7 linked regions of the Xenopus tropicalis genome follow. The protein of the gene in region 4 interacts with the protein of the main gene of each other region in a pairwise test. Links are inferred from orthologs where the notes say so. Each region holds a gene or a part of one and is shown on either strand. Other genes may lie near its edges. The genes, in order: faf2, ubxn8, rpl9, vcp, lzic, rnf115 and ubxn4.

Evidence for each region.
Region 1: the proteins of vcp (region 4) and faf2 interact in binary tests that used the Homo sapiens proteins (3 or more experiments, as listed by UniProt). The link is inferred for Xenopus tropicalis from reciprocal best matches to the Homo sapiens genes VCP and FAF2.
Region 2: the proteins of vcp (region 4) and ubxn8 interact in binary tests that used the Homo sapiens proteins (3 or more experiments, as listed by UniProt). The link is inferred for Xenopus tropicalis from reciprocal best matches to the Homo sapiens genes VCP and UBXN8.
Region 3: the proteins of vcp (region 4) and rpl9 interact in binary tests that used the Homo sapiens proteins (3 or more experiments, as listed by UniProt). The two-hybrid records come from large-scale screens. The link is inferred for Xenopus tropicalis from reciprocal best matches to the Homo sapiens genes VCP and RPL9.
Region 5: the proteins of vcp (region 4) and lzic interact in binary tests that used the Homo sapiens proteins (3 or more experiments, as listed by UniProt). The link is inferred for Xenopus tropicalis from reciprocal best matches to the Homo sapiens genes VCP and LZIC.
Region 6: the proteins of vcp (region 4) and rnf115 interact in binary tests that used the Homo sapiens proteins (3 or more experiments, as listed by UniProt). The link is inferred for Xenopus tropicalis from reciprocal best matches to the Homo sapiens genes VCP and RNF115.
Region 7: the proteins of vcp (region 4) and ubxn4 interact in binary tests that used the Homo sapiens proteins (3 or more experiments, as listed by UniProt). The link is inferred for Xenopus tropicalis from reciprocal best matches to the Homo sapiens genes VCP and UBXN4.

What each region holds. Positions count from the first base shown.
Region 1 is NC_030679.2:47,538,295-47,541,405, reverse strand, and holds part of faf2 (FAS-associated factor 2), read left to right. Parts: intron 1-1,176; coding exon 1,177-1,348; intron 1,349-2,393; coding exon 2,394-2,537; intron 2,538-3,111. UniProt on the Homo sapiens protein: Plays an important role in endoplasmic reticulum-associated degradation (ERAD) that mediates ubiquitin-dependent degradation of misfolded endoplasmic reticulum proteins.
Region 2 is NC_030677.2:97,456,493-97,460,524, reverse strand, and holds part of ubxn8 (UBX domain-containing protein 8), read right to left. Parts: intron 3,711-4,032; coding exon 3,636-3,710; exon of another isoform or gene 3,634-3,635; intron 1,346-3,633; coding exon 1,184-1,345; 3' UTR 1-1,183. UniProt on the Homo sapiens protein: Involved in endoplasmic reticulum-associated degradation (ERAD) for misfolded lumenal proteins, possibly by tethering VCP to the endoplasmic reticulum membrane. May play a role in reproduction.
Region 3 is NC_030677.2:36,143,261-36,148,084, forward strand, and holds the end of rpl9 (60S ribosomal protein L9), read right to left. Parts: intron 3,192-4,824; coding exon 3,111-3,191; intron 2,756-3,110; coding exon 2,649-2,755; 3' UTR 2,646-2,648; intron 974-2,645; 3' UTR 920-973; downstream 1-919.
Region 4 is NC_030677.2:212,815,383-212,818,822, forward strand, and holds the end of vcp (transitional endoplasmic reticulum ATPase), read right to left. Parts: coding exon 3,268-3,440; intron 3,182-3,267; coding exon 2,873-3,181; intron 2,580-2,872; coding exon 2,424-2,579; intron 2,273-2,423; coding exon 2,118-2,272; intron 1,581-2,117; coding exon 1,478-1,580; 3' UTR 794-1,477; downstream 1-793. UniProt on the Homo sapiens protein: Necessary for the fragmentation of Golgi stacks during mitosis and for their reassembly after mitosis. Involved in the formation of the transitional endoplasmic reticulum (tER).
Region 5 is NC_030683.2:63,536,709-63,540,740, reverse strand, and holds part of lzic (protein LZIC), read left to right. Parts: intron 1-3,317; coding exon 3,318-3,416; intron 3,417-3,501; coding exon 3,502-3,597; intron 3,598-3,755; coding exon of another isoform or gene 3,756-3,797; exon of another isoform or gene 3,798-3,904; intron 3,905-4,032.
Region 6 is NC_030684.2:141,762,711-141,766,742, forward strand, and holds part of rnf115 (E3 ubiquitin-protein ligase RNF115), read right to left. Parts: intron 1,975-4,032; coding exon 1,902-1,974; intron 1,757-1,901; coding exon 1,663-1,756; intron 1,383-1,662; coding exon 1,267-1,382; intron 1-1,266. UniProt on the Homo sapiens protein: E3 ubiquitin-protein ligase that catalyzes the 'Lys-48'- and/or 'Lys-63'-linked polyubiquitination of various substrates and thereby plays a role in a number of signaling pathways including autophagy, innate immunity, cell proliferation and cell death.
Region 7 is NC_030685.2:84,077,973-84,082,605, forward strand, and holds the start of ubxn4 (UBX domain-containing protein 4), read right to left. Parts: upstream 2,979-4,633; 5' UTR 2,879-2,978; coding exon 2,797-2,878; intron 1-2,796. UniProt on the Homo sapiens protein: Involved in endoplasmic reticulum-associated protein degradation (ERAD). Acts as a platform to recruit both UBQLN1 and VCP to the ER during ERAD.

The sequences.
Region 1 (3,111 bases), on a different chromosome or scaffold from region 4:
TAGCACCTGCCTCATATAGATATGACTGCTCCATAATTTAATAATGTCTGTCCCCCCAGTTTCTGAACATTAGAAGCAGGGGGTGAGTGAAAGACAGGCCACATGTGTAATGGAAAACATATATACCCTGGGTTTGTGGAATCATATCTCTGTATTTAACCAGGGGCTTCTTTGGGGGGTTAGTGATTTGAAATGCAGTTTTTGTTGCACCTGCTATTAGACCTAAAAAAGTTTTGTGTGTGCATTTGTGTCTCCCTTTTTTTCCCCTCGTTAAAACCAAGTAAAAACAGTAGTTGACCTCAGCCTGCATACTCCAAACCCCACAACTCTTTGCACCCGTGATTTCAATAAGGAAAGGAACAGTGCAATGGATTGTGTTTTATGTAGTTCCTACATGCTATCTGTAAGCTGTGGAGAAGTTGTTACATAAAAGTTTTACTTTTGCAGCTGGATTTCAGCATATTCATTCATTCATACTTTTTGAAGGAACAGATTACAGCAATAGATATATTAGGGGTTTCTGTGTTGCTCACTATTCCCCTTGATGTTGCTCCCAGTGGCCTCAATGCAGGTGCACATTTTTACATTTCTGGTCTGGAAGACCGTTTTAGAAGCAGAACTGCCTGTAGGCTAGCAGTCCACATGGGCTACCAAATAGCCCCCAAAGAACTTTTTTCATTCTTGTGTTGCTCACAAACACTTTTTACATCTGAGTGTGGCTCACAAGTAAAAAAGGTTGGGGATCCCTGTTGTAGAGAGTGCTATTCTGAAACAATTTGCAATTGGTTTTCATTTTGATTTATTTAGCTTTTTCAGTTATTTATCTGTTTGTTCAGCAACTTTCCAGTTTAGAATTTTAGCAGCTATATGGTTGTTATGGTCCAAATTACCCTAGCAACCAGGTAGTAGTTTGAATAAGAACCTGGAATATGAATAGGACTGCAACTGAATAGAAAAGTAAGTAATAAAAGTAGCAAAACAATGAAATTGTAGCCTCACAGAGCAACAGTTTTTGGCTGCTGCGACCAGTAACTCCCATTCAAAAGCTGAAAAGAGTCAGAAGAGGAAAGCAAATAGTAAATAAAACACAGATAAAAAGTTCTATGGCCATTCTATAACATACTAAAAGTTAACTTAAAGGTGACACACCCCTTTAACTTATTGTTCTTTTTGCAGAGAGGAGCGAAACCAGACTCAGGTGCTGAGGCAGCAGCAAGATGAGGCGTATCTGGCATCTCTGCGTGCTGACCAAGAAAAAGAACGCAAGAAGAAAGAGAAACAGGAGCAGAAGAGAAGAGAAGAGGAAGAGGCACAACTCAAACAGATGTTAGAAGAGAGGAAGAAAAGGGTAAAGAATTTTACTCCCTGAGTAGCTAGCTTATACAGTTATAACAGCACTCAGGAAAATGGATCAAGGAAGGTGCTTTCAATCTATAGTTGCAGCCTGCTAGTTGTCACTACAACTTATAGAATCACCATGATTGCCGTGTTGGAAGTTAGCAACAGCTAAAGAGCCCAAGGTTAAAGATTGCTGCTTTGTTAGGATAGAACATTTTGAACCATTTGAAAACTTCCTTATCCGTTATAATTCAGACATTTTAAGCTATAGATCAGTGATCCCCAACCAGTGGCTCACAAGCAACATGTTGCTTACCGCCCCCTTTTATGTTGCTTCCAATGGCCTCAAAGTAGGTGCCCATTTTTAAGTTTTTGCTTGGAGGCAAGTTTTGGAAGCACATAGACACAGTTTTACTCAAAGCAGAGCATCTTGCAGGGTATCACTCCACATGGGGCTGCCAAATAGTCAATCACAGTCCAATCACAGAACTTTTTTCATGCTTGTGTAGCTCACCAGCACTCTTTTACATCTGCATGTGGCTCTTGGATCTTGGATATAGATCCAAGTTATATCATGCCTAAATTAACAGAACTTCCAGCTCATTTTGATTTTTTTTTTTGGCATTGCCATCCCAAGATCCAACATAAATGCACTATATTTTAAATGCAAAGCATTAAGAACCTCTTTGGACAGTCAACCTCAGGAGAACAACTGTTAAACTACTATTAAAGGAATAATATCCAATTAAGGTTTTTTTTCCTTTAGATTTGAGTTAATATTCATTTACGTACTTTTAATCCAACATGCAGAGAAATCTACTGGCTAAAATCCTTGTAAAATGGCAATGCTGCCCACTTAGTTGGGCCTGCTGTAGCCCTGACCGTGTAGAGATTTGGGGGTAAAGTTGCCGTGCCCACAGGGTTTGTATCCTGTGAATGGCACTTCTTTCAGTAATTCTTTAAAGTTTAGCTGTATTTTATTTTATATATTGCTCTGTTTTCTTTATGTATGTGATGTTCTCTATTAACTGCCAGTATTTTATCTCCTCTAATAGAATCTGGAAGAAGAAAAAGAGCGCAAGTCTGAGTGTCTCCCTGCCGAGCCAGTTCCAGATCATCCAGATAACGTGAAAATTATTTTTAAGATGCCAAATGGTACCAGGGTAGAGCGGCGGTTCCTCTTCACCCAGTCCCTGTCAGTAAGTGCCCACTTCTGCATCTATACAACATGTTTGGCTACCACCTTTTTTCCATATTATTTGGCATACCTAAGTTACTGGCTGCACTATAGCTTTGACAGTTTGGGTCAGGGGACTGACAAATTGATAAGAAGGACAGGCTATTCTATTTAAAATTGTAGTCAGAATTCACACTTGAGTACTGTAGGTCCATGCTTACAGGGATTTATCTAAAATGCCTCATCAGGACTTTCCAACTGGTTGTCACTGAGCAGCTTTCTGTATAACCCAGTAGTTAAGTTTGTATGTCCCTATCTTTTTACTATAACTAGCACAATGGGCATATACTGGATATTAGAAATAGTTAGCCAGTGCTGGCTTGTATATTACTCAAACCAAAATGTGCAAATGCATTTATCATTCTCTTGATACCTCTGTGGCTGTCAGATCTATGTGAATGTTAGACCCTTAAACTGGCAGTGCATGCCCAGATTTGGTCTGGCAGTTTGGCATAGTTCAGCCATACTGTCCAACCATCAGAGCAGGTATAGCAAGTTGACGAGTGGGGTAGTTAAGACAGAAAAACCTGCAATCC
Region 2 (4,032 bases), about 120 Mb from region 4:
GCATTTCATTTACTGGGCCTTACTGCATCCCACTTAAAATCTCCAAGTGTGGTCGAATTTCAGTTTAAAAGGATTAACGTCTTTCCTGAAGGTTGAGGTAAATATCATTTTTATCAACATGGCTATCAACTGTCATGGATACCATGTTATGTTTATTATTCCAAATAGTCCTCTTTGGTGCCAAAGCTATTTTCGCTCTAATACTTTATGGTGCTTTACATGAGAAGTTAATTTATGAATTAAAGCCCCTTTATATTTGTTTCTTGCACCATACTGCCGATTGCATCTGCTTTACATAATAAGGTGCTGAGAGGCGAGGGAGCTCTTGCTGCTTGTTGCACCTACACATGCAACTGACTCTCATTTGGGCTTATCTGTAGTATAATGATGTACAGTGTAAGATCTTGGAATCAGTATTAAAGGAGAAGAAAAGGCACAATGACAAGAGGGGAACCAAAATGTTAGGCACCCCACTCTTCCTGTTCTTGGATTCTCTCTGTGGTCCCAGGCCAGGACATCACGCGCAGTAGAGCAAAAAGACAACCCAGCTTTTCACTCTATGGCCCATAGAGGATCCAGGAAGAATGTAGCTTAGAAAACAAGCTTCTGTAGCATCATGCTTTAAATTACCCATCAGCCTCTAAATAATTGACTGCTAGAGCAAGTTAAAAAATGCTGAAGCTTTTAGTTACTTAAGCACATCTCTTACAAAGAATTTTTGGCCAAAAAATATAAAAATAAATGTCCATATCTCTGTGAAATTGTACACAGACATGATATAAAATGTATAATACTGACACCTAGGGGTGCATTTACTAAAGTTCAATTTTTCTTTTTCACGGTTCGTAATTTTTTGCACAAAAAACTATTTTTTCACCATTCATATGCAACAAAATTGTGACAAATCAGAAAGAAAAAAATACGCCATCTAAAAGCTGTCAAGGTCATGTGAAGTCGATGGCAGGTGTCTTTTTTTTACAACCGGGAGATCTTTCTTCGTAGTTTAAATTTTTTTCCACATTTGTGCTTTATCAATTCAAATTGTGGAAATGAGTTTAGTCAAGGTTTCAAAATACTCTAATACCATGAAAATCCAAATGTTTGTAAATCTGCCCCCTAGTATAAAAATGGTGATGCTGTTGGTCAGGAATGATCATCAGATTCAGTCGGCCCACTCAACATATTAAGAATCTTTTTTTTCAACATTCAAAACCATGTCCTTTAAAATCCCAATATCCTCTAATGATGAACCATTCTTGAGTTCTAACTGGCATCTTGGAAATGTGGAGTAGATGGTATAAATAACTGGATGGTAACCTAGTTTCTTCATCCAATCCAACAAAACCTAAAATCAGAAGTAGTGTGTTAAATTGGGTTCCCGTGAAGAGATTAGAAGTTACAAAGAATAGTTCTGGACCCTCCCCACTTCCAAAGGAGAAGGAGGTATGTTCAAAGGCCATTATAGTTCTTTCATACATAATCTAGCTCTAGATATCATAACGTATACAGACATACGGACGTATTTTCCCCCATAGTAAAGTACAAAGAACCAGAGGCCACCCCTTTAGACTTCAGAAACAGAACTTTAATTTGAATCTGTGTAGGTGATTCTTCACAATGAGGGCAGTGAGGGTGCAGAATGCCCTTCCAAGTGATGTTGTGATTCTATTAATACTTTTAAAGGAGAACTAAACCCTAACAATGAATATGGCTAGAAATGCCATATTTTATATACAGGTATCGGACCCCTTATCCGGAAACCCGTTATCCAGAAAGCTCCGAATTACGGAAAGCCCGTCTCCCATAGACTCCATTATAAGCAAATAATTCAGAATTTTAAAACTGATTTCCTTTTTTTATGTAGAAACAAAACAGAACCTTGTAATTGATCCCAACTAAGATATAAATAATCCTTCTTGGATGCAAAACAATCCTATTGGGTTTAATTAATGTTTTATTAATTTTTTAGTAAACTTAAGGTATGGAGATCCAAATTATGGAAAGACCCCTTATCCGGAATACCCTTGGTCCCGAGCATTCTGGATAATGGGTCCTATACCTGTACTAATCTGACTTCACTAGCCAAGAGTTTCAGCATCTCTATAGTAGTAATGATGTAGGTCTTTACAGTTGTCACAGAAGCTTCCTATCTTGGATTCTGTTAGAACTGTCTGGGACAGTGCACATGCTCAGTGTGCTCTGAGCATCTGTTAAGAAGCTGAGCTTAGGGGTCATTGCAAATTATCAATCTGAAAATGAGGCTGGCCTGTCATATAAACTGAGGCTACTGATTATTAAATTCGGATGCTAACTGCACTGGTTTCAGAGCTGCCATGTTATCTGAATCCAAATGAATTACTAATCAGCCTTATATTGTTACATTTGTATTCTATATATACAGTATATTGTACATCGCTCCCTAAGCTCAGTAACTGATAGTAGCACAGAGCATATGCAGGGAATCAGTAGAGAAAAAGATGGGGAGCTACTGGGGGCATCTTTGGAGGCACAGATCTTCACTGGTAAAGGCTGTGGTTGCCTTGGGCTGGTACAGAAGCCCAAAACATAGGGGCACATTTACTAATCCACGAACGTCCGAAAAGCGTCTGAATGCGTTTTTTTCGTAATGATCGGTATTTTGCTATTTTTCCTAAATTGGCGTGACTTTTTCGTAGCCGTTGCGACTTTTTCATAAATTGTCGCGACTTTTTCGTAGCGTCCGCGCTACGAATTGTCACGACTTTTTTGTAGCTGTCGCGCTGAGTACGAAAGTTTCGGATTCATTCAAGCTTCAGTATGGTGACTTTCCTTGGGCCAGGTTGGAGCTGCAGAGTGCCACTGAGTCCTATGGGAGGCTTCCAAAATCATGCAAAGTCTGAAAGTTTTGCCCGCCGCTTACAAGCGCTCAATACGAAAAAGTCGCAACAATATACGAGCAAATCGTAACGGCTACGAAAAAGTCGCGACAATTCGCGCAAGTCGTAACGGCTATGAAAAAGTTGCAACAATTTACGAAAAAGTTGTAACGGCGACGAAAAAAATCGCAAAAAATACGAAAAAGTCGCAAAATGTTAGTTTCCAATCCGAATTTTTCCCATTCGGATTCATGGATTAGTAAATGTGCCCCATAATGTACAACATTTTTAGCCTACTTCTTTAGTTAAGCTTTAGTTCTCCTTTAAGCAAAATATCCAAGGCTACTGTGATCTACAATTAATTTAGAATATTAGGTGTGTATGTTTAATTAGGTATGCATAAATGGAAGGGTCAAACTTGATGGGACTTTTTTCAACCCAAAGTAACTATGTAACATACCTCTTGAATCGGGGCATACATTATTGTATTTCAAAAGCCTAGGTGAATGTTCGTTTTATACACTATAATAAAAGTAATAACAATGTATACTGCTGCTGTATATTAATGCACATGGTCCTGCACATGAGTCTCAGGACCAAGATAAATGGTATATTATGTAGCTGCTCCTTCAGGAGCACACAAGAAGATGGACTCCAATAACCAACACTGAGGATTTGGACTATTTTTTTCCAGATATTTTCCAGCTGTTTCCAGATGCATTTGAGCACTGTCTAGAACATTACAAGTAAAGGAAAGTAAATATAGCTCCCACTACTTACTTCTGAAGTGCAGGATGTGTAAAATCTTCTTTTAAAAACACGCCCGCTTGGACATCTTAGGACAATGGTAATTACCTGGGGAGAAGAAAATGGTGGCGCTAATAAAATTAACAATACTGTTATATTAGTGCTGGGCAAGTTTTCCTTTGGCCCATACCAGTTAAGACAGTTTAGTGATAATAAGAATACCAAACATTATGTAAACCTCACACCCATATAGGGGCAAACACAGGATTTTCACAGCAGGGATTAACCCATTACCTGTTCATAGTCTCTGTACAATTTTACCAAATATATAACTATATCAAACTCTAGATATTCTGGTGCAGCAAGCATGCAGTGCAAGAGCTAGTGCAAGTAGAGAGAGGTAGAACTGATTAATATTATACTTTAATCA
Region 3 (4,824 bases), about 180 Mb from region 4:
TGTACTTCAATGTCTGTAAGTGCAATTTATTAATAGATTGTTTACATTGACTTTACACGGTGGGAACGGGCCCCTCTGTTTTCTTGCCAATGACAGGATGTTTTGTATCTCATAATTAATCTGCTACAGCAGGCAACAAAACATTCCTTGTTTCCTCTCCACAGGCTAACATGCAAAATGGTGCTGGGCAAACCTACATAACACAAAGTTGCCCAGAAGTTCTCGCAAGGAAACAAGGGACATTGTCGTCTGCTGTAGCAGAGATCAACTGCAGGTGACAATGTCCCATCTGTCATTGCCCTAAAGCCCAACTAGATAATGACTTATGCAGCAGATGGCCCAAGTGGAGCTTGCCATCATGAGAACTTATCAGGAATGGTAGAATTAATAACTACTGTAGCAGGGGGTGGTTTAACAAGCAGATAGAAGCAGGAAGTGACATGGATTTCATGTGAGCCAACAATTGGTTAGGATCTAATGGATTAGCCTTCTCAAGTTATGGTATAAGTCAATCAAGAGCATTTTATTACCTTAACTCCAAAACAAAAAAGAAAGCTTGTGCAATGGACATTTATTGGAAGACTACTTTAAAACATTACCAATCCATTGAGCCAAAACACACCACTTTAATGAAGATCTTATGCATTAAGTGTATGTTGGTCACAGAGACTTGACAAACCACAGCTTCCACTTTACCCACAAAAATACAACCAGGTGTGAATGTTCAAGGCTATGAAAAAATATGACCAAAGGTACTCCATAATATATTACCCATAAAAAGCTTCTGAAAATGTATGCACTTACGGAAAGTTAACGATTAATCCCTTTTGCATGTTTAATGCTTTAAAAACGTCAAGGCTATTGCCCAAAATAGTCTATAAGAGAATCTCAAACCAATAAAAGAAACAAAAGTCAGAAGTTTAGATAAAGGGACTTTATTTTTGGAACAGTACAGGAACCAGACTTTTGCAGGCTGTAAAGAAGGAAAAAAATATATACGTCACTACAAATTTGTTCAAAGCCCATTACCAACGCTATGCATTCTATCATACTAAGGCTTATGCTACATGTGGCAGATTCTTGGCCTGTGGATAAACGCAGGCTGAAACAACCACTTGTTCCACAAGCCTAACAAGGACACAGCAGCACGAAGGGTACCTGCTGGAAAACTTCATTTTATCCTTCTGCTAATAATTAAAAACAACTTTGCATCCAGAACACCCAATAGCCTGGTATAGATAGGTTATTCATTTATTCTAAAGGCAGTGAAAAAACTGGCATAAGTCACACCAGCCTCATGTATAGAAAGCAGAAAGGTCAATGCGTTATTGGAAATGTAATTTAAGCAGTGGTTTTTGCCTATTAGGATATTGGTTGGGTTTTTATTGTTTGATATTTCTTGCACCTCCAATAAGAAGTCATATGTATAATGAACTGGTCCTTATCACACAGCCTAACAAAGGCTTTAGCTGGAGGAAGCGAGGGGTTTGTTGTAATATACAGAGGGTTCCACAGTGGACTGACATGGTTTTGACTGTACTCTTAAGCTAGGGTGACCAGATCACTTGAAAATTATGGGCACGTCTAGAAAATCCAGTTAGCAGGGCTGAACTGATTGCAGTTTATTTTATATGCAATTTGTGCTGCCCAACAATGTTACAAGTGTCCCTGAATTTTCAAGTGATCTGGTTACCTTATCCTAAGCACCAAAAGTACAGTGAGACTCAAGTTCAGATTTTGCAGTTTAGTTCAAGAAACAAACCATATATTAACCCTAATTAAAACAGGCAAAGTATATGTTTAGCACAAGGTCTATTCATTTAACCAATGCTAGAAATTAGTATTCAGCCTTTTTTTAAAGGATTTAAACTATTTTCCCTAAAAACTATTGGGCAAGGATTATCCAATTATCTGCAGTAGATTTAACATTTTTTGATCCAAGGCTCCCTCTCGTGGTAAAATAGATCAGTTTTTACACTTTTTATACAAGACAAGAAACAGTGAGGGGCAACTTCCAAGTTCTGTCCCACCCCCTTGCAGATCCAGTTGATTATCCTATTAGTGAAGCATACAAGCCACTGAGAAAATGGAGCCTTGACTTCCTCTACCTTGTTTCAAAGAATCAACACCAGGAGTACAGAAAGGGACAGAATTACTGCTTTCAACTGCAGTTGCATTCACATGTAACATATATGTTTTGTGTTTCTATATTAAAATCAGTTTAATAAGTTTTAGGTGGTATTTTTGATGGTAGCTCTACTAAAAGGTATTTTAAGTACTTACAAGCAAACGCACACTAGAATACACTTTATAAAATAACTTAGTCTATAAAATATGAGCAGGCAAGATACCAGGTGGTGAGAAACCCTGGTGTTTTGGAACTAAGGGTACTGGTATGTATACTGCAATATGCTTACACTATACTTACTATGTGATTGTACATTATTGTCTATAATGAAGATTTTTGTAATGTACAACATTGTCCTAAACTGATTTCTTTACATAAGGGGAGCACTGGTGTATCTATTTTAATTCCCGTTTTAAGCAGCGGACATATTCCTACACAAGAGAACATCATTTAGTAAAATCCAGTACAACTGGCCATAATTTTGGGCAAAACAACCCTGGAGTGTCCAAATACAAACCTTTTATTCTTCAACCTGCTGTACTGTACCCTTTTCGGATACGTAGATACCATCCAAGAATTTTCTGATATCCTTATTCTTTACTGTGGTGGCTTGCTGGATCAAGGCAGCTTTAAAAATAAAAAAATATAGGTATAAATAACATAAGACAAATCCATCTATAATGGCTACATATGATTTTACTTGTTAAAACCTCACACTGATTTTGATCTACACATTAATGACTAAAGTTAGTCAGATTTCAATAAGGGATGATAATTTAACATGCCAATTTTGCACAATTATTAAACAGAAATGTAAAAATTTAAGAAACTGGATTTTAGATTATTCCATGTGTTTCTGCAGAGCTAAAGTGATTAACCAAGGTTAAAGCTTTAAGACTATTCAAGACTAACCCAACCTGCTGCACATCTAGGTCTGGCAGCCAGTCATTATTGGGAACACCAAATGTGTTTATTAACATACCAGAGTTTGATACAAGTTCAATGTCATTGCCTTCAAGAATCAGCTCATCTTTCTGGGCTTGGGATAAGGCGCATGCAACACCTAGAATAGAAGAGTACAGACAACAATAAAATTAGTGGATTTCTACAAGTGTGCTTTTTTTCATTAATGCAAGCATCATACCACCATGTATATTAAAAGGGAATTAAAACCTGAATACATATTCATTCTAAACAAAATATGTAATATTTAATCACCACCATGTAAATAAGGTGGAATGTTAAGACAAATAATGTGCTGAGCCCCAAAGACATAGAATGGGAAGCCTTAAAATTGTTATTATGAAACACTGTAAAGCATGTAAGGGTGTTTACCTTAAACCTTTCACTGGCTGCGTCTTATAAAAACCATCTCAGAACATATTTTTAGAGCTTATCTGGTTAATATTGCTGACTTAATATATGTGGGACAAAAAACAAAAAAAATGCAAACTAAGTTGTCCTTTTAACACCAATTTATTAGAGGATGCCAATTAGACAACTGCATGACTAATTGCTAGGCTGGGACCATGACCGCCAACCTGCCATGTTTGGTATCCCCACACTGTCTCCGGCAGGTGATTTTAGTATTTGTTTTGTCATCCTGCATTTGTGCCTGCCCAGGGCACAAGTGATCAGAGGGAAAAATCAAAGAAGCTGGAGCTCTAATGGAAAATTCCCTGAGCCAGTCCCTTTTGCTACAGAAGTGCAGATCTGTAGTCCCGTGTTAACAACTACCCAACATAATGGCGACCTACATGAAACTGGCTATCACCCATTAAAGATTGTGGGATCGCAGAAATTCTAAACATTTCAAAATGAAATAATGGGTGACTGCATTTCTTAACAGTAGTGGCACATCTAGGGAGTGTGGGCACTGCAGTAATTCTTGTCTAAAAAGTATGCCATTCTTGCTTGAAAATGACTATGAATGACACACAAAGGCTGGCATTTTTAAAATCATTTGATTTGAATTATTGAGTAATTAGAGCCTGTGTGCCACTGCCCTTAGAACTGGGAATAACTTGCAGAAAATATATATTTATGTGAAGGGGATGGGGGGGTGTTTGGGGTGGGGGTGGGTGGGTTATACTTATGTGAAGGGGATGGGGTTGTGTTTGGGGGGGGTGGGGTGGGGGGTTATATTTATGTGAAGGGGATGGGGGGGTGTTTGGGGTGGGGTGGGGTGGGGGGGTGTGTGCGGATGGGGGGGTGCGTGCGGATGGGGGGTGGGGGGGTTGCGTGCGGATGGGGGGGTGGGGGGGTGGCGGGGGGGGTGCGGGTGGCGGGAGTTTGGGGTGGTCACCTAATCATGCATGGGGAAAAAAAAATACCGTCAAATACTGTGATACCGATATAATTTTGAAAAATACCGTGATATAAATTTTTGGTCATACCGCCCAGCACTACTTTAAACAGTAACGTATTTCATTGTGGTTTTTATGAGTTTTTTGCGGTATGTAACCATCACGATTTTCCTAGAGATACAGCCCAGACTATCCTATCTGGTGACTTAATATGGGGGGGCAGCTAGGCTTCCAGTTTTTCTGTGTAGGTCAGCTAAGAATAAAAGGCCAGACTGAGCATGGCAATAGCAACTGTCAGCTGGGTACACAGAGCTTTGCTTGGATGTCTTATAATGTACTGAAGAATTTACTTGTCCACAGAAACTAAAGCCCTTTGCATTACCTAAAGCC
Region 4 (3,440 bases):
CTAAATGCAAGCCCTTCAGTGATAATAGGAACCTATATATCTTTATATATCTTTTATACCCCCCCCCCCCCCTTTCATTCTGCCCCTTCCTGCCCCACTGACTGTTCCTTATTGACACATATATATATATATATATATATATATATATATATATATATACACACACACACACACTCTATGGAGCAGCAGCTGCTGATGGGATTTATCTCTGCCGTTTAATACAAATCACAACCATCGTTAGTAGAATTCAGATTCTGCTGGAATTTAGGAAAAACCTTTTGTTTCAGCCCCCAAATCCAATCACGACTCGGCCACTAAAACTGCATGTAAATTTGGGTCCAGCGTTCTGATTCAGAAGATAAATCACCCCCCTCAGAATGACCCAGACATGCCGGCAAGATCACCGCAGAAATGGGTTCAGTGCATGGCGTTAACCCCACACGTGCCAGCGAGATCACCACAGAAATGGGTTCAGAGTATGGCATCAACCCCACAAGTGCTGGCCAGATCCCTGCAGAATTGGGTTCAGAGTATTGCCTTGCCCACACTTGCCTGTCTGCCTCTCTCTCTCCCCCCCCCCCCCCAGTGGAAGCTCTCACAAAGACAGTGGGGGCCCATGTTCCCCAGCAGGACAGACCCGACCCAGGTGGGTGCCCAGTAGCCACTCCTATTACACCCTACCCTGTATGGGGGGTCCGAGTGGTGCTCTGGTGCCACCTATATACCCACAGGTGAGGAGACATACAATAACCCCCCCCCCCACTCAATTACAAAGAGCAAAGAGACAGTCGCATTAGAGATCAGTCAGTTTATTGTCGAGACGCTCGAGCCTCCGTATTTCAATCCAACATGAAAAAAATGAAAGGAAAAAAACCCTCAGAGAATGTTTAATTTCTTTTATTCTGCTTTTCTCATACCCACAGGAGAGGGAGCGACCCAATCACAGCTGGAGAACCCTGCAACACCCTGGGGCCCCGCTGCCGCTCTATTAACCCTTTCACTGCCAGGGTGCCCGGCTACAAAGCTCCCCAGGCACGGTGGCAGCCAAAGGGTTAATCTTGGCATCGATTCCCCCAAACAGAACCAGAACCCAACAGAACCCACTTTGGATGAACAGTTGAAGGCAAAACAGCTGAAACTGGAGGAGTCAGAACCAGATCTGCAGGATCCTCCCCCCACAGGTGGTAAAAGGAGTCCAAAGTCACTCGGTGGGAGGGGCAGAACTTTCATTCCCCGCCCTCGACGCCGCGAGCACAGGGGCCGCTTGGGGGGGGGGGACGGGGAGGGAAAGGAGAGAAAAGTAAGAGTTGAAGGCGGAATCCTGAGAGACTTGGCTCTCCCCTTCTCACAGCCGTGTAACAAATCATAGGAGTGGGGGGGGTGCATCTACGCTGCCGGGACTGGGGAATGAAAAGCTGAGTGTCCATTAACGTAGGAATTTCTGCGCTGTACAACGAGGGGCGAGTCGGCCGACTCTTTAACCATACAGATCATCTTCTTCCTCGTTAAAATGGCTGCCGCCGCTGCCTCCGCCCGCTCCTTGGCTGGGACCGGCTCCACCTTGACCCCCGGCGGGAAATCTGACAGAGAGCAAATGCGCAGTTTATGTGGATGATACAAGCAATCGGTTGGGTGCCGTAAGGGTTAATATTGGGGATCAGGGTGCCGTAAGTGTTAATATTGGGGATCAGGGTGCCCAGCGCACCCCCCATGCCAGGGTCTGTAAGTGCAGTTACTCTGCACCAATAAGCACAGATAAAGCTTTTGTGCTGCAAAAATATTGTGTTTTGCCTTAGTGACTAGGGTGGCAACACATTATACAGCTGCCCATTGGGCAAGGTCACAGAGTGGACCCTTAGCGTCTCCGGTACCAGCCCCTGGCCCAGATTTGTATGATCAGAACCCCAAGCAATAACAGAGGCCTAAGGAGAGGTCACACTGGGAAATGACACCCACCAACGCACCAATCTGATCCCAACTCCTAACTAGAATTTTCTGTACAACTTTTGGCCATATATTGGTTAGGCTGGAGGGCCCCATACAGGGACCAATAAGCTGAAGTGAAGGGGCCACGCTGGCACTTGGCATAAGAGACGGCCCTCGCTGCTCAGCGTTACCTGAAGCTGCCGAATCCTCTGCTCTGCTGAAGGGTCTGTGCGAACATCTCGTATTTGCGAATGTCGTTATCGCTGACGGAGCGGCGGGCGAATCGCATGGCTTCTTCAAAGTGGTCTCTCCGGATTTCCGGTACAGGGTCGTCTTCTTCCACTTCCTGCAATCGGTGGGGGAAACAGAGAGAGGGGTCAGTAGAAGGCGAAACCCCCGGACCCCCAGGCTACGGGGGGCGCAGTGAGGCACAAACCCCAGAGACATCCTATAATACCCCCCATGTTCTGCCCCAATCACAGCGAGCGCCTCCTTACCATAGCCGAGGGGTTGGTCTGCCTCTCTCGCTCCCTTCGGATCTCATTCTCAATGGATTCCCTGATGGCCAGTTTGCAGGCACGCTGGCAAATCTCAGTCAGATCGGCACCGGAGAAACCATTGGTCATCTTGGCCAGGAAGTCAAGGTCCACATCCTGTTTAGAATCGCAGCAGGCGTCAGTAACTTACATGGAGCATGGGAGGTTTGGCCCCACAGAAACAGAACAATTAACTTTTTGTGCTGCACTTGGTTGCTAAAGCCTCCCACGACCATAGCAACCAGGCAGTGCTTTGAATGACAGACTGGAAGATGGATGGGTAATCTAAAGTCTCTATCATATACACACAAGGAACCAATTAAATGCCTTTTATTGGGTGTGGGGTGGGACCAATAAAGCCAGTTGGGCAATAAAAGGACATTCTGCCCCCTTCCTGGGTAATGACTTGCCTTGGCAACAGGAGACTTCCTAAGGTTGGCCTTCAGGATGGCAATGCGGGACTTCTCATCGGGCAGTGGGATGTAAATGAGCTGATCCAGACGGCCGGGACGCAAGATGGCGGGGTCGATAATATCTGGCCTGTTGGTGGCTCCAATGATGAAGACGTTCTTCTTTGTGGACATTCCATCCATCTCTGTGAGGATCTGGTTAATGACTCTGTCGGCGGCTCCACCACCATCTCCAATGTTGCCGCCTCGGGCCTTGGCAATGGAGTCCAATTCATCAAAGAAGAGGACACAAGGAGCGGCCTGCCGAGCCTGAGAGCAGAGGGGAAGAGCTGGTTGTTAGGGTGCCGTACGGGCGCCAGCGCACACGCAGTTACAGGGGGTGGGAGGGGCCTTACCTTGTCAAATATCTCTCTGACGTTGGCCTCAGACTCTCCGAACCACATGGTGAGCAGTTCTGGCCCTTTGATGGAGATGAAGTTGGCCTGGCATTCGTTGGCAATGGCCTTAGCCAGCAGAGTCTTACCGCACCCGGGGGGCCCGTAGAAAAGCACACCCTTCGATGGGGTCA
Region 5 (4,032 bases), on a different chromosome or scaffold from region 4:
ACTTTTATCATGTAGACAGCGATAAATAATACATAATCCCTTTTTAGCCAAATTGAAATCGGGGACTGTTACCTTTACAACATATATATGTGTTGGAGTTCCTAATAGATCCTCTCTGAAAAAAATCAATTACAGCTCTGGCTTTACTCATTGAAAGTTCTTTATCAGGTCTACCTAGCTTTTGCATAGCTGGCATTCTACAATACAAATTTATATGAGCCATTTGCTCTCCTACACAGCCTGAAAAGTAGGCAGAAATAAGTAGAAAGGTTGGGTAATGTTTTGGGAAAATTTTAATAAAGCAACACAAAAGGCACATTTGTTCTATTTTTAAGGTGTATAATTAATAAAATAGCGAAAACTTATCAATTAACAATGTTACCATTAGGGCAGAAGTAAACGTAAACACTGGAGTAAACACGGAATTCACAACAAATTTTGCAGGCTCCTACCTGTGTATCTCTCTCCTCACCGTGAAAAACCACCTACGCTGCTTCAAATGGAAACTCCATTCCTCTCATCTAAAGGGGTGGCCTCTGGTGCATTGATTGTTTTTATGGGAAAAAAGAACACCCCCAATCTGCCTATAATCCCCTCTAATGTACTTGTACATTATGTAATTAGTAATCCTGTCCCCTCGCAAGCGCACGGTCTAACCTCATAGCTTAAATCTTCCATCCCCTTTACCAGTTTAGTTGCACATCTCTGCACTCTCTCCAGCTCATTAATATCCTTCTTAAGGACTGGAGCCCAAAACTGCACTGCATACTCAAGGTGAGGCCTTACCAGGGACCTATAAAGAGGCAAAATTATGTTATCATCCCTTGAGTCAATGCCTTTTTTTTATACACGACAGAACTTTATTTGAGAAATTAGACAACTTGTCATCTACAAAAACCCGTAGATCATTCTCCATTAAGGATACTCCCAACAAACTACCATTTAGTAGATAGTTCACGTTTACATTATTTCTTCCAAAGTGCATAACTTTGCACTTCTCCACATTGAACCTCATTTTCCAGTTTGCTGCCCAGTTTTCCAATTTTTTTCAAATCGCTCTGCAAAGTGGCAGCATCCTGCATGGAACTTATAGTTATATAATAAAAGTATAGTAAGTATAATAAAAATAGAAAGCAGTTATAAAAAAAAAAATGTTTTAAAGCAACAACCCAGAAAGTACTCCCGGTAAATGAGGACTTCCGCTGCTGTATATGTTTTTGTGGGAAGGGTTATTTTTTCTATAAATGTAGTATTTTTTTTTTACTATTATATTTATCTTTTGCTATGGTATCATTTTGATTATAATCCCAGGTGAAACCTAGCTCTGTTATTCATCCATAGAGGGTTATGTTGAATGTTAAAGGAAAATTAAAACCTAGCCCCACTCCACTGCCACCCCCTCCAAGCTCCCTCCCTGCAGCATCTCTTTTAATTGTCCTGACCTGCCATAAATTTGCACAGTTGCACAGCAAAGTTCAAATGGGCCATCTTCCACTCTCTTCACATCCTCTTCTGGTCAGTGTAAAACTGGCCCACCAGGATACCAGGAAAACTCCCAGTTGGCCCTCCTGCCTTTTGACCATTTGGCCTGTTTCATGGTCATTCCCTATTTCTGAATGGGAACAAAGAGGAGAAATAGATGGAAGAATAGATGCTAGCATGTAAATAAAAGAGACTAAGAAAATAAAGAGGTTGAGTGAGGAAAGGAAGAAAAATAGTTTGGAAAGTGGGCCTAGGGTCTAAGGTTTTCTGGTGGGGCCCCTAGGTTCCCAGTCCGACACTGCTTCTGGTAGAGCGACGACACAGATCTTGGAGTAGCATGCGCAGTTGAATATATGTCCTGAATCAGCATTAACTGTGCATACTCCTGCAAGATCTGTATCTACAAATGACAGAAGAGGATCAGAAGACTGACAGCACGCAACTCAGCAGATTTATTGTTGGTTAGCTCACAAGGAGACTTCTGAACAGAATAGCTCCTGCACGGGGGAGCTTTGAGAGGGACAGTGGATGGTGGTGGAGGAGAGGCTTTTGTATTACATTAATGTGCCATGAATGCACAGAAAGAGAGAAGATTTTTGCTACGATCCCAGAAAGCTTTTAAAAATGTTTTTATGTAAAGTATATAATTCAAAGCCTTTCTTGTCTAATTACATTACACAGTATACATACTGTGCACCTGTACAACCCAATTAAACATGAAAAATTATCATGGAAATATTAGATTAAAAATATTCTTGTTATATGACAATAAAAGAAATTCAGATGCATGTGGCATTTTTTATTCCAGTGCCCCATTTCTGCTTTATAATTCACTAGCCCCAGCCACTCTGTAATCATCTTTCACATTTGTCATATATCACCTTGTTGCAAGTTTTCCCCCTATAAACTGTATCTCGGCATGTAAAACCATAACCCACTTTTAAATGCCATTTAAGAACTCCCCCCCCCTGCAATTTTTTGCCTAAAAACAAAACATAATTCTAACCAACTTTGCAATATACATTCATTACACATTTGAAGTGTTATCAAGTTATTTGTATATATTATTGCTTTTAAAAGCAGTGTTTGTGCTTTTCTGTTCTCTGTCCTGATGGCTCTGGCTTTTGCAACAATGTAACAGAAGGCAGTGGATTGACAGACCTGTCTTGCTATAGGAGACTGGCTTTTGCAACATTGTTTAAAAGTCATAGCAAGGAGTTAAAGTGATAGATCATTCTTAGGGCGAGGTCACACAAGGCGTCTTTACGTTGCATTTTTAAAACCGCAGATTTAAGCATAACTACAGCAATAAAACAGCACACGGCTGTTTCTCAGCCTGTAGTTTTTTTTCCCAACATACATTTCAGATTTTTCTCATTCACCATAATTCTGCTGTTGCGCGTTTGTAATGACAAAATACATCTGTGTGCCGTCATTGCTACAGTGCCACTTCTCTTTCCATTGTACTGTCACATGCTAGTGTCACATGCTCTGTACACGTTCCGTATCAAAAAAAGCCTTGAAGGAAGACACCTCGGAAGAATTTTAGTACATTTTTGCAAAAAAAAGAGCCAAGCGGGAAAGCAATCTTAAAGCAAAATGTAGCCGGACTTATTGTCAATAAGTTACAGCATACAACGACGTAAATACGTATTTGCACAATCCATCTTGCAAGAGTTTGGTCACATATCGAAAATACCTGGCGTATTTCAGTCAAGTGTATTTCCAAACCTGTGGAAATAGCATTTCCATGACATATTTGCATTTATTGGTGTTTCTTATTAATTCCGTGTTTACTGTTATGTCATATTTTACATTTTTCCATTCCTATACAGGCAATACAGGCAGCTATCAGCCAAGCCTTTAAGACTCCCGAGGTGATCAGAATGTTTGCTAAAAAACAGCCTGGGCAGCTACGAACACGTTTAGCAGAGGTAACAGAATAAAATATTTCACCAGTACAGTTTTTTCTGCAAAATAGTTTATTTAATACTTTTTTGTTGGTTGTTTTCCTGTTAGCTAGATCGGGATTTAATGGTAGGCAAACTAGGAAGAGATCTATACACACAGCAGAAAGGGGAGATCCTGATTGCGTTGCAGAAACTTGGAGAAAAGGTAAATCTAAACGCAGATATTTCTTTTTATCTATTGTATCAAGCTACTTAGATGTAATTGTTGTATTCATTTCATTTAATAATTTATCTGTTAATTTATGTTTGTGTATTTGCTTTTTCTTTTTTTTTACATTTACATTTAATCGCTGTATACCCCAGGGCCAAAAAACAAAGGCGTTTATGATGATGTGGCATGTGTAGCTATCCTTGGACCACCCGGCCAGCCCTACTATTACTGTTGAGGACCGAAACGTCTGATTCTTTTAAACAATATGTCTACAATAAACGATGATAATGATGATTTTAAAGGGTGTGCCGGTCACAGATTATTTATTGCTGAATACTCAAAATTTGGCTGTGCACCCCGCAAGGTTACAAGCTTTGGAGTGCAGACACTATAAAGACTGATATATATATATATATATATAATAAATGT
Region 6 (4,032 bases), on a different chromosome or scaffold from region 4:
GCTCTCTTTCCCATGGTCAGGCAGGAACCTCCCCCTGGGTAAGTGAATCCAATCTCCCCCCAGTACTTACCCAGGTACAGAGCTCTGATTCTCTGTACTTCCTGCTCCTGGGCTGCTCTCTTTCCCATGGTCAGACAGGAACCTCCCCCTGGGTAAGTGAATCCAATCTCCCCCCAGTACTTACCCAGGTACAGAGCTCTGATTCTCTGTACTTCCTGCTCCTGGGCTGCTCTCTTTCCCATGGTCAGACAGGAACCTCCCCCTGGGTAAGTGAATCCAATCTCCCCCCAGTACTTACCCAGGTACAGAGCTCTGATTCTCTGTACTTCCTGCTCCTGGGCTGCTCTCTTTCCCATGGTCAGGCAGGAACCCCCCCCTGGGTAAGTGAATCCAATCTCTCTCCCCCAGTACTTACCCAGGTACAGAGCTCTGATTCTCTGTACTTCCTGCTCCTGGGCTGCTCTCTTTCCCATGGTCAGGCAGGAACCCCCCCCTGGGTAAGTGAATCCAATCTCCCCCCAGTACTTACCCAGGTACAGAGCTCTGATTCTCTGTACTTCCTGCTCCTGGGCTGCTCTCTTTCCCATGGTCAGGCAGGAACCCCCCCCTGGGTAAGTGAATCCAATCTCCCCCCAGTACTTACCCAGGTACAGAGCTCTGATTCTCTGTACTTCCTGCTCCTGGGCTGCTCTCTTTCCCATGGTCAGGCAGGAACCCCCCCTGGGTAATTTTATCCAACCTCTCTGTACTTTCTTTGCCTGGGCATAACCACGGTCAGACATGATTCATCAGAACTCTATACCTGTGAGAATACACCAAGGGGGATGTTCCCGCCTGACCTTGGGAAAGAGAGCAGCCAAGTTGCACCACTGGTTCCAATTGAAAATAAGCCCATGTTTAAAGGGGCAGTTCACCTTTACATTAACTAGTATGTTGTAGAATTCCTAGCAAATCTGCAATTGATCTTCTTCGATTCTTTATAGTTTCTGAATTATTTGCCTTCCTCTTCTATACCTTTTTAGTTTTCAAATGGGGGTCACTGACCCCAGCAGCAAAAAAAAAAAACCTTTATGTTCTGTGAGGCTACAATTTAATTATTATTGTTATCAGCTTTCTGTTCAGCTCCCTCTCCTATTCATATCCAATCTCCTATTCGAACCACTGCCTGGTTGCTTAGGTAAACGAAACCCTAGCAACCAGACAGCTGCTGAAATCCCAAACTGGAGAGCTGCTGAACCGTGAAGAGAGGGAGGGGGGGGCCCTTACCAGTTCAAGCCAAGGCACGATGCAGTCTCCGTGGAAGAAATGGTTGCAGGGTAACTGCCTTACTTGTTCTTCTATGGCGTAATCCTCTTTGCACACTGGGCACTCCAGGCCCATTGCTTGGAAAAGAGAAGGAGACGCACGGTAAATACAGGGAGTAATAATTGTACAAATAGCCTCACTAAGAACCTCCCACTGAGTGAGCCAATCCCATTTCTCTCAGAACAAACTCAATTCTATATACTTCCTGCTCTTGGGCTGCTCTCTTCCCCATTGGCCATGGGAGAAAAGCAGCCCAAATACAAAAAAAACTCAGCTCTCTGCCTGGGTTAGTAGGGGGCAGGTCTGATTTACAGCCATATGGAAAGGCTTGGGAACATACAAGAGAAAGAGACCTACCCACTTGCTCCCGGGTTACAGTGACAGTCGGGAGGGACACAATCTTGTCTTTGTCGGCCGGGGGAGGACCGGTGTTTTCCAGCTGCCCCAGTAGCTGAAGGAAAAACAGAGGCTTTAAGTTGAAGCCCAAAATCCCATGGCAGGGTCAGTAAGGGGGGCATTTATTAAAACACACTAACACTTTGCATTAAGGTAGAATAGAGAGCCATCGTACTGCACCGAGACCCCCACATCCTTACCTGTGTGACGATGGAGTCCAACCCGCTCTGGCCCCACGCGTAGTCCCCCGGATTCGAATGCAGCATCCCACTCCTACAAACAATAGCAAATGTGGTTACACTACTAACATGGCCCGTACAGTTTGGGCCTAGGGGGGACTGACCCATAAACACGTCGGTGCCATTAGTACAGTTTGGGCCTAGGGGGGACTGACCCATAAACACGTGGGTGCCATTAGTACAGTTTGGGCCTAGGGGGGACTGACCCATAAACACGTCTGTGCCATTAGTACAGTTTGGGCCTAGGGGGGACTGACCCATAAACACGTCACTGCCATTAGTACAGTTTGGGCCTAGGGGGGACTGACCCATAAACACGTCACTGCCATTAGTACAGTTTGGGCCTAGGGGGGACTGACCCATAAACACGTCGGTGCCATTAGTACAGTTTGGGCCTAGGGGGGACTGACCCATAAACACGTCGGTGCCATTAGTACAGTTTGGGCCTAGGGGGGACTGACCCATAAACACGTCGGTACCATTAGTACAGTTTGGGCCTAGGGGGGACTGACCCATAAACACGTCACTGCCATTAGTACAGTTTGGGCCTAGGGGGGACTGACCCATAAACACGTCGGTGCCATTAGTACAGTTTGGGCCTAGGGGGGACTGACCCATAAACACGTCACTGCCATTAGTACAGTTTGGGCCTAGGGGGGACTGACCCATAAACACGTCGGTGCCATTAGTACAGTTTGGGCCTAGGGGGGACTGACCCATAAACACGTCACTGCCATTAGTACAGTTTGGGCCTAGGGGGGACTGACCCATAAACACGTCGGTGCCATTAGTACAGTTTGGGCCTAGGGGGGACTGACCCATAAACACGTCACTGCCATTAGTACAGTTTGGGCCTAGGGGGGGACTGACCCATAAACACGTCGGTACCATTAGTACAGTTTGGGCCTAGGGGGGACTGACCCATAAACACGTCGGTACCATTAGTACAGTTTGGGCCTAGGGGGGACCGACCCATAAACACGTCGGTACCATTAGTACAGTTTGGGCCTAGGGGGGACTGACCCATAAACACGTCGGTACCATTAGTACAGTTTGGGCCTAGGGGGGACTGACCCATAAACACGTCGGTACCATTAGTACAGTTTGGGCCTAGGGGGACTGACCCATAAACACGTCTGTACCATTAGTACAGTTTGGGCCTAGGGGGGGGACTGACCCATAAACCCGTCGGTACCATTAGTACAGTTTGGGCCTAGGGGGGACTGACTCATAAACACGTCGGTACCATTAGTACAGTTTGGGCCTAGGGGGGACTGACCCATAACACGTCGGTTGCCATTAGTACAGTTTGGGCCTAGGGGGGACTGACCCATAAACACGTCGGTACCATTAGTACAGTTTGGGCCCAGGGGGGACTGACCCATAAACACGTCACTGCCATTAGTACAGTTTGGGCCTAGGGGGGACTGACCCATAAACACGTCACTGCCATTAGTACAGTTTGGGCCTAGGGGGGACTGACCCATAAACACGTCTGTGCCATTGGTACAGTTTGGGCCTAGGGGGGACTGACCCATAAACACGTCGGTGCCATTGGTACAGTTTGGGCCTAGGGGGGACTGACCCATAAACACGTCGGTACCATTAGTACAGTTTGGGCCTAGGGGGGACTGACCCATAAACACGTCGGAACCATCAGTACAGTTTGGGCCTAGGGGGGACTGACCCATAAACACGTCGGTGCCATTAGTACAGTTTGGGCCTAGGGGGGACTGACCCATAAACACGTCACTGCCATTAGTACAGTTTGGGCCTAGGGGGACTGACCCATAAACACGTCGGTGCCATTAGTACAGTTTGGGCCTAGGGGGGACTGACCCATAAACACGTCACTGCCATTAGTACAGTTTGGGCCTAGGGGGGACTGACCCATAAACACGTCGGTGCCATTAGTACAGTTTGGGCCTAGGGGGGGACTGACCCATAAACACGTCGGTGCCATTAGTACAGTTTGGGCCTAGGGGGGACTGACCCATAAACACGTCGGTGCCATTAGTACAGTTTGGGCCTAGGGGGGACTGACCCATAAACATGTCGGTGCCATTGGTACAGTTTGGGCCTAGGGCGTCAC
Region 7 (4,633 bases), on a different chromosome or scaffold from region 4:
CCCCCCCCCCTCACCTATAACACACAGGCAGCTACAGACACCACCCACAGTACTGGGAGGGCTGTGGTTTATTTGCTCTCCCTTTGTTTAACCTTCTTATGTCTCCCAATAAGGGCAGTGAAAGCATTTTGTTGTGACAGTTTGGCAAAGAGCTGGCGAGACTGCTGGCGAGACTGCCCTACAGTGACAGGGAATGAGCAGCTTCACGGCACAAACAAGACAAACACAAAAGAAACAAGATGGAGGCCCAAGGCTCACTAGGATGTTATTTTCAAACTACGTAGCAACAACGGCAGAGAGGATGCCAATGGTGCCGCTGGCCCAACTGTGCCAACTGTGCCAGGCAGTCTAACAGAGAGACGGGCTATAATTACTGGGATAGAGCAATAATGGATTTTATTATTGCATCCAAGGGACATCTCATAAAGAGACTGTACTGTAGGGCCAGGAACTCGCAGTGACTGCACTTTGCACTCTCAGACTGAAGCCAATAAATAACTGCCTGCGAGCCCTTCAGAGATGCTCTGTCTGTCACTCTAACTGTCACCCCGTTCCTCATTACTAAATGGCTAAAGTGCTGCCCCTCTATTGGATGGGTCCCCTATACACGCAGTAATACCATCCAATAACAGCATTATTAGCGGCAGCGACCTGGGGCCCCTTTGGCAGGCAGGCACAGAGTTGCCCAGAGAAGCCCCCAGGATCCATCTCCATTCACACACAGGATGCCAGTGACAGAAACTGTGCAACCCCAATCCCACCCCCGCTACCAGCCAACAAACACAGGCTGACAGTTAGTAAAGGCAGATGCCTGACAGTTACCTGTTTCCCCCCAATCGAAAAATTACTCCTTTTTATAAGCCGACAGCTACTTGCCTGGAAATAACAGGGTTCCCCTTTACAAAAAACTGAGCATCTACCCACCCAAGCCTGGTCCTACTGCCCCCCATTACTATTGATGACACGCTCATTAACCCTATCTACTGGTCCTACTGCCCCCCATTACTATTGATGACACGCTCATTAACCCTATCTACTGGTCCTACTGCCCCCCCCATTACTATTGATGACACGCTCATTAACCCTATCTACTGGTCCTACTGCCCCCCCCATTACTATTGATGACACGCTCATTAACCCTATCTACTCGGCACGTGGTTTGGGGGGGGATCTCTCCTTCTCTCACCATATAAACCCCACTGTCAAAACCTGTAACTTTTTCTTATGCAAAATTGCCAAAATCTGTCCCTTTCTGTCACCCGTAACTGTCAGGCTGCTCGTACATTCTCCCCAAATTTCTGCCGAGGGTATCCCCCCTGTCTCTGCAGAACTCACAGACCCCCCCTTGGGGCTCTCGCATAGACCTGAACTAGGAACTGGCACTTATACTGCAGTGTCACCTATTTGTGTCTGTAAGTTATTTAGACTGTAAGCTCTACAGGCCAGGGACCTCCATCCTCCCGTCCTCGGTGGAATCATTAATACAACTGTACTTTATATTTATTTGTATTTATTCCTTTGTACCTATTATTGTAATGAACCTGTTTGTTTATGAATTCACACATACGTAGCATTATATACATGAAATATACATACATACCAACAAGCTGACAGTTACTAGGCAACCCCATGAACACTGACAATAATAATGGCCCATCATAAAGCTGACAGCTTAGTATTTGTGGCCTACAGCAGCCTCTGGGCTACAGAGAACAGTTCTAATGCCCCAATATGTTGCCTGGGTTACCCACATACTGACATTCGGCAGCGAGTCCTTGGGCTCCACTCTGGCAGGACATTGGTTATAACAGTCCCCGGGTTCCCACTATACTGACAGTTAGCTGTGCCAGTCCCTGGGCTATCTCCATGATGCCAGATGTACCAGTACATGGGCTCCCCTCTGACAGGCAGTTAGTAGCAGTACATGGGCTCCCCTCTAACAGGCAGTTAGTACCAGTACATGGGCTCCCCTCTGACAGGCAGTTAGTACCAGTACATGGGCTCCCCTCTGGCAGGCAGTTAGTACCAGTACATGGGCTCCCCTCTGGCAGGCAGTTAGTACCAGTACATGGGCTCCCCTCTGACAGGCAGTTAGTACCAGTACATGGGCTCCCCTCTGACAGGCAGTTAGTACCAGTACATGGGCTCCCCTCTGACAGGCAGTTAGTACCAGTACATGGGCTCCCCTCTGACAGGCAGTTAGTACCAGTACATGGGCTCCCCTCTGGCAGGCAGTTAGTACCAGTACATGGGCTCCCCTCTGGCAGGCAGTTAGTACCAGTACATGGGCTCCCCTCTGGCAGGCAGTTAGTACCAGTACATGGGCTCCCCTCTGACAGGCAGTTAGTACCAGTACATGGGCTCCCCTCTGGCAGGCAGTTAGTAGCAGTACATGGGCTCCCCTCTGACAGGCAGTTAGTAGCAGTACATGGGCTCCCCTCTGACAGGCAGTTAGTAGCAGTACATGGGCTCCCCTCTGACAGGCAGTTAGTAGCAGTACATGGGCTCCCCTCTGACAGGCAGTTAGTAGCAGTACATGGGCTCCCCTCTGACAGGCAGTTAGTACCAGTACATGGGCTCCCCTCTGACAGGCAGTTAGCTAAACTGACAACTATAACAATCATTGCCCCCCCCCCGATACTGGCAGCCCTTGTGCCCCTATGATGCCCATATTATGCCCCTATGATGCCCATATTATGCCCCTATGATGCCAGACAGTTGGCCGTGCCTCAGGCCCAGTTGCCCCTATGACAAGTTGCCCGATACACTGAGAGGCGGGGAATCCATTCTCCTCACCAGCCACGAACACCACAAACACGGAGTTGCGCTGCTTGGCGGCCGCTATAGCCTCCGGGATGGAGCCCTGGAACCACAGCATCGTCCGACTCCGCTGCCCGCCTCCTGTCACTGCCCTCACTGCCCTCACTGCACACACACAGACGGTGACGAAGCCGGAAAACAGGATGTGACGTAACGCCGTCCGCTCTCACGCCGCACGCAAACAATAAGCCACGCCCACGTGGGGCGGAAGTGAATACTGAGCGCAGCGCTGATGGAGTTTGTTGTCATGGAAACAACCAAGCCGCCATACGCTCTGCCCGTAATGATGTCATACGCATATGCAGTTACCTCATACACTAATTGCGCCTATAATTACCATCATTGCGTCATGTTTTATTCAGTTTTGCTGTATAGTTAATGTAGGCCATTCTCTGGGGTAATACCATTTATTTTGCCCTTCCCTCCCACCCAATCAGCAGCTTGCTGGGCTTGCCACCTGTTTAGTTATCAAGTTCAATTCATTTCTTATTGTTACAGAAATAAAGAGCAAATTTCTGAGCTTTCTGGAAAACTGGTATAACAGAGCCCATACAGTTACCCATCAGGCAGAATAAAGACAGAACTAGGGCTGCCAATCAAACTGACTGGAATTCCAGCCAATTGTAAGCGCTGCAGTAACTGCACTCTGGCATCATAACCCCGCCCCTAGCTTTGCTGCCCCACCCCTATAGCTTTGCTGCCCCGCCCCCTTTGTTCAGGTTTAGCACTGGCAAAGGTGGTGACCCCAATGTTTTCCACAGCACTGCCCTCAGGCTCAGGCCAAGAAAGTGTCCGGACTGACCAGAGCATGGGCTGAGGCAATGGTGCCGGACACATTCCTCCCTTGAAAATGGAAAGAGGGACAAAAATAAATAACGCACGGCAAAATTTTACCACGCCCCCTAAATACCACTCCCATTTGACTAAATTTGGCAGGTTATTTAAGGTCTGAACACATTTCTGGGGGGTTTGGGGTCCTGCTTCAGTGCAGGAGATGAGGGAAATGAGGGACAATTCAGTAAGAATCCGGGACTGGGAGCTGAGCTGTCAAAAGAGGGACTGTCCATATCACACCATTAAGGTTGCGCCAGATGGGCCGTACCCCAACAGATCACTGCCCGAGATGTGCAGCTAGCCCTGCTAACTTTCATATCCCCATATGCAGTCACTAAATACTCATCAAATAACTTAGCCTTCCCTACTGTGACTGCTCCTGAAACCTGCTTGCTAGGGGTCCTAGACAGTATAATTGCCCAAAATAGCGCCCAGATACGCTACAGAATACTCCTATGCAAAAAAAACAGTCGCAATGCATTGGATGGGCCCTACCCTGCCCACCATTACAGCCTGGAAGAACCTAGTGAATGCGGTTGCCCCTCTGTATAAACTCACATACGAGACTAGGGGCGCACCTGACAAATTTGACAAAGTTTGGGGCCCTTGGTGTTACCTAGAGGGAAATTGAACAATCTCGCTCCTAGTTACATAGTATAAGGCGTCCTCCCACCTTGTTCTGCCACACCCTGAACACGTAGTTCAGTAGGGTGACGGACCCAATATGCTGGAACTGCTGCCAAACATACACACTCTGTAATGTCACAACCTATCCCTTCAATGTTTGTAACAAATTTTAAAGATAAACCTGGAAAAGAAAGACCAATGCATTTTCCTCATTGCATTGTTAAATGTGTTATTTTATGTTTTTGTTTGTATGAAAAATTAATAAAATACACCTTTCAAAATATAAAAAAAAAAGGGGGACTATCCCGTGAAAATCGAGACAGTTGGGAGGTATGGGTACAGCCCACCCTGC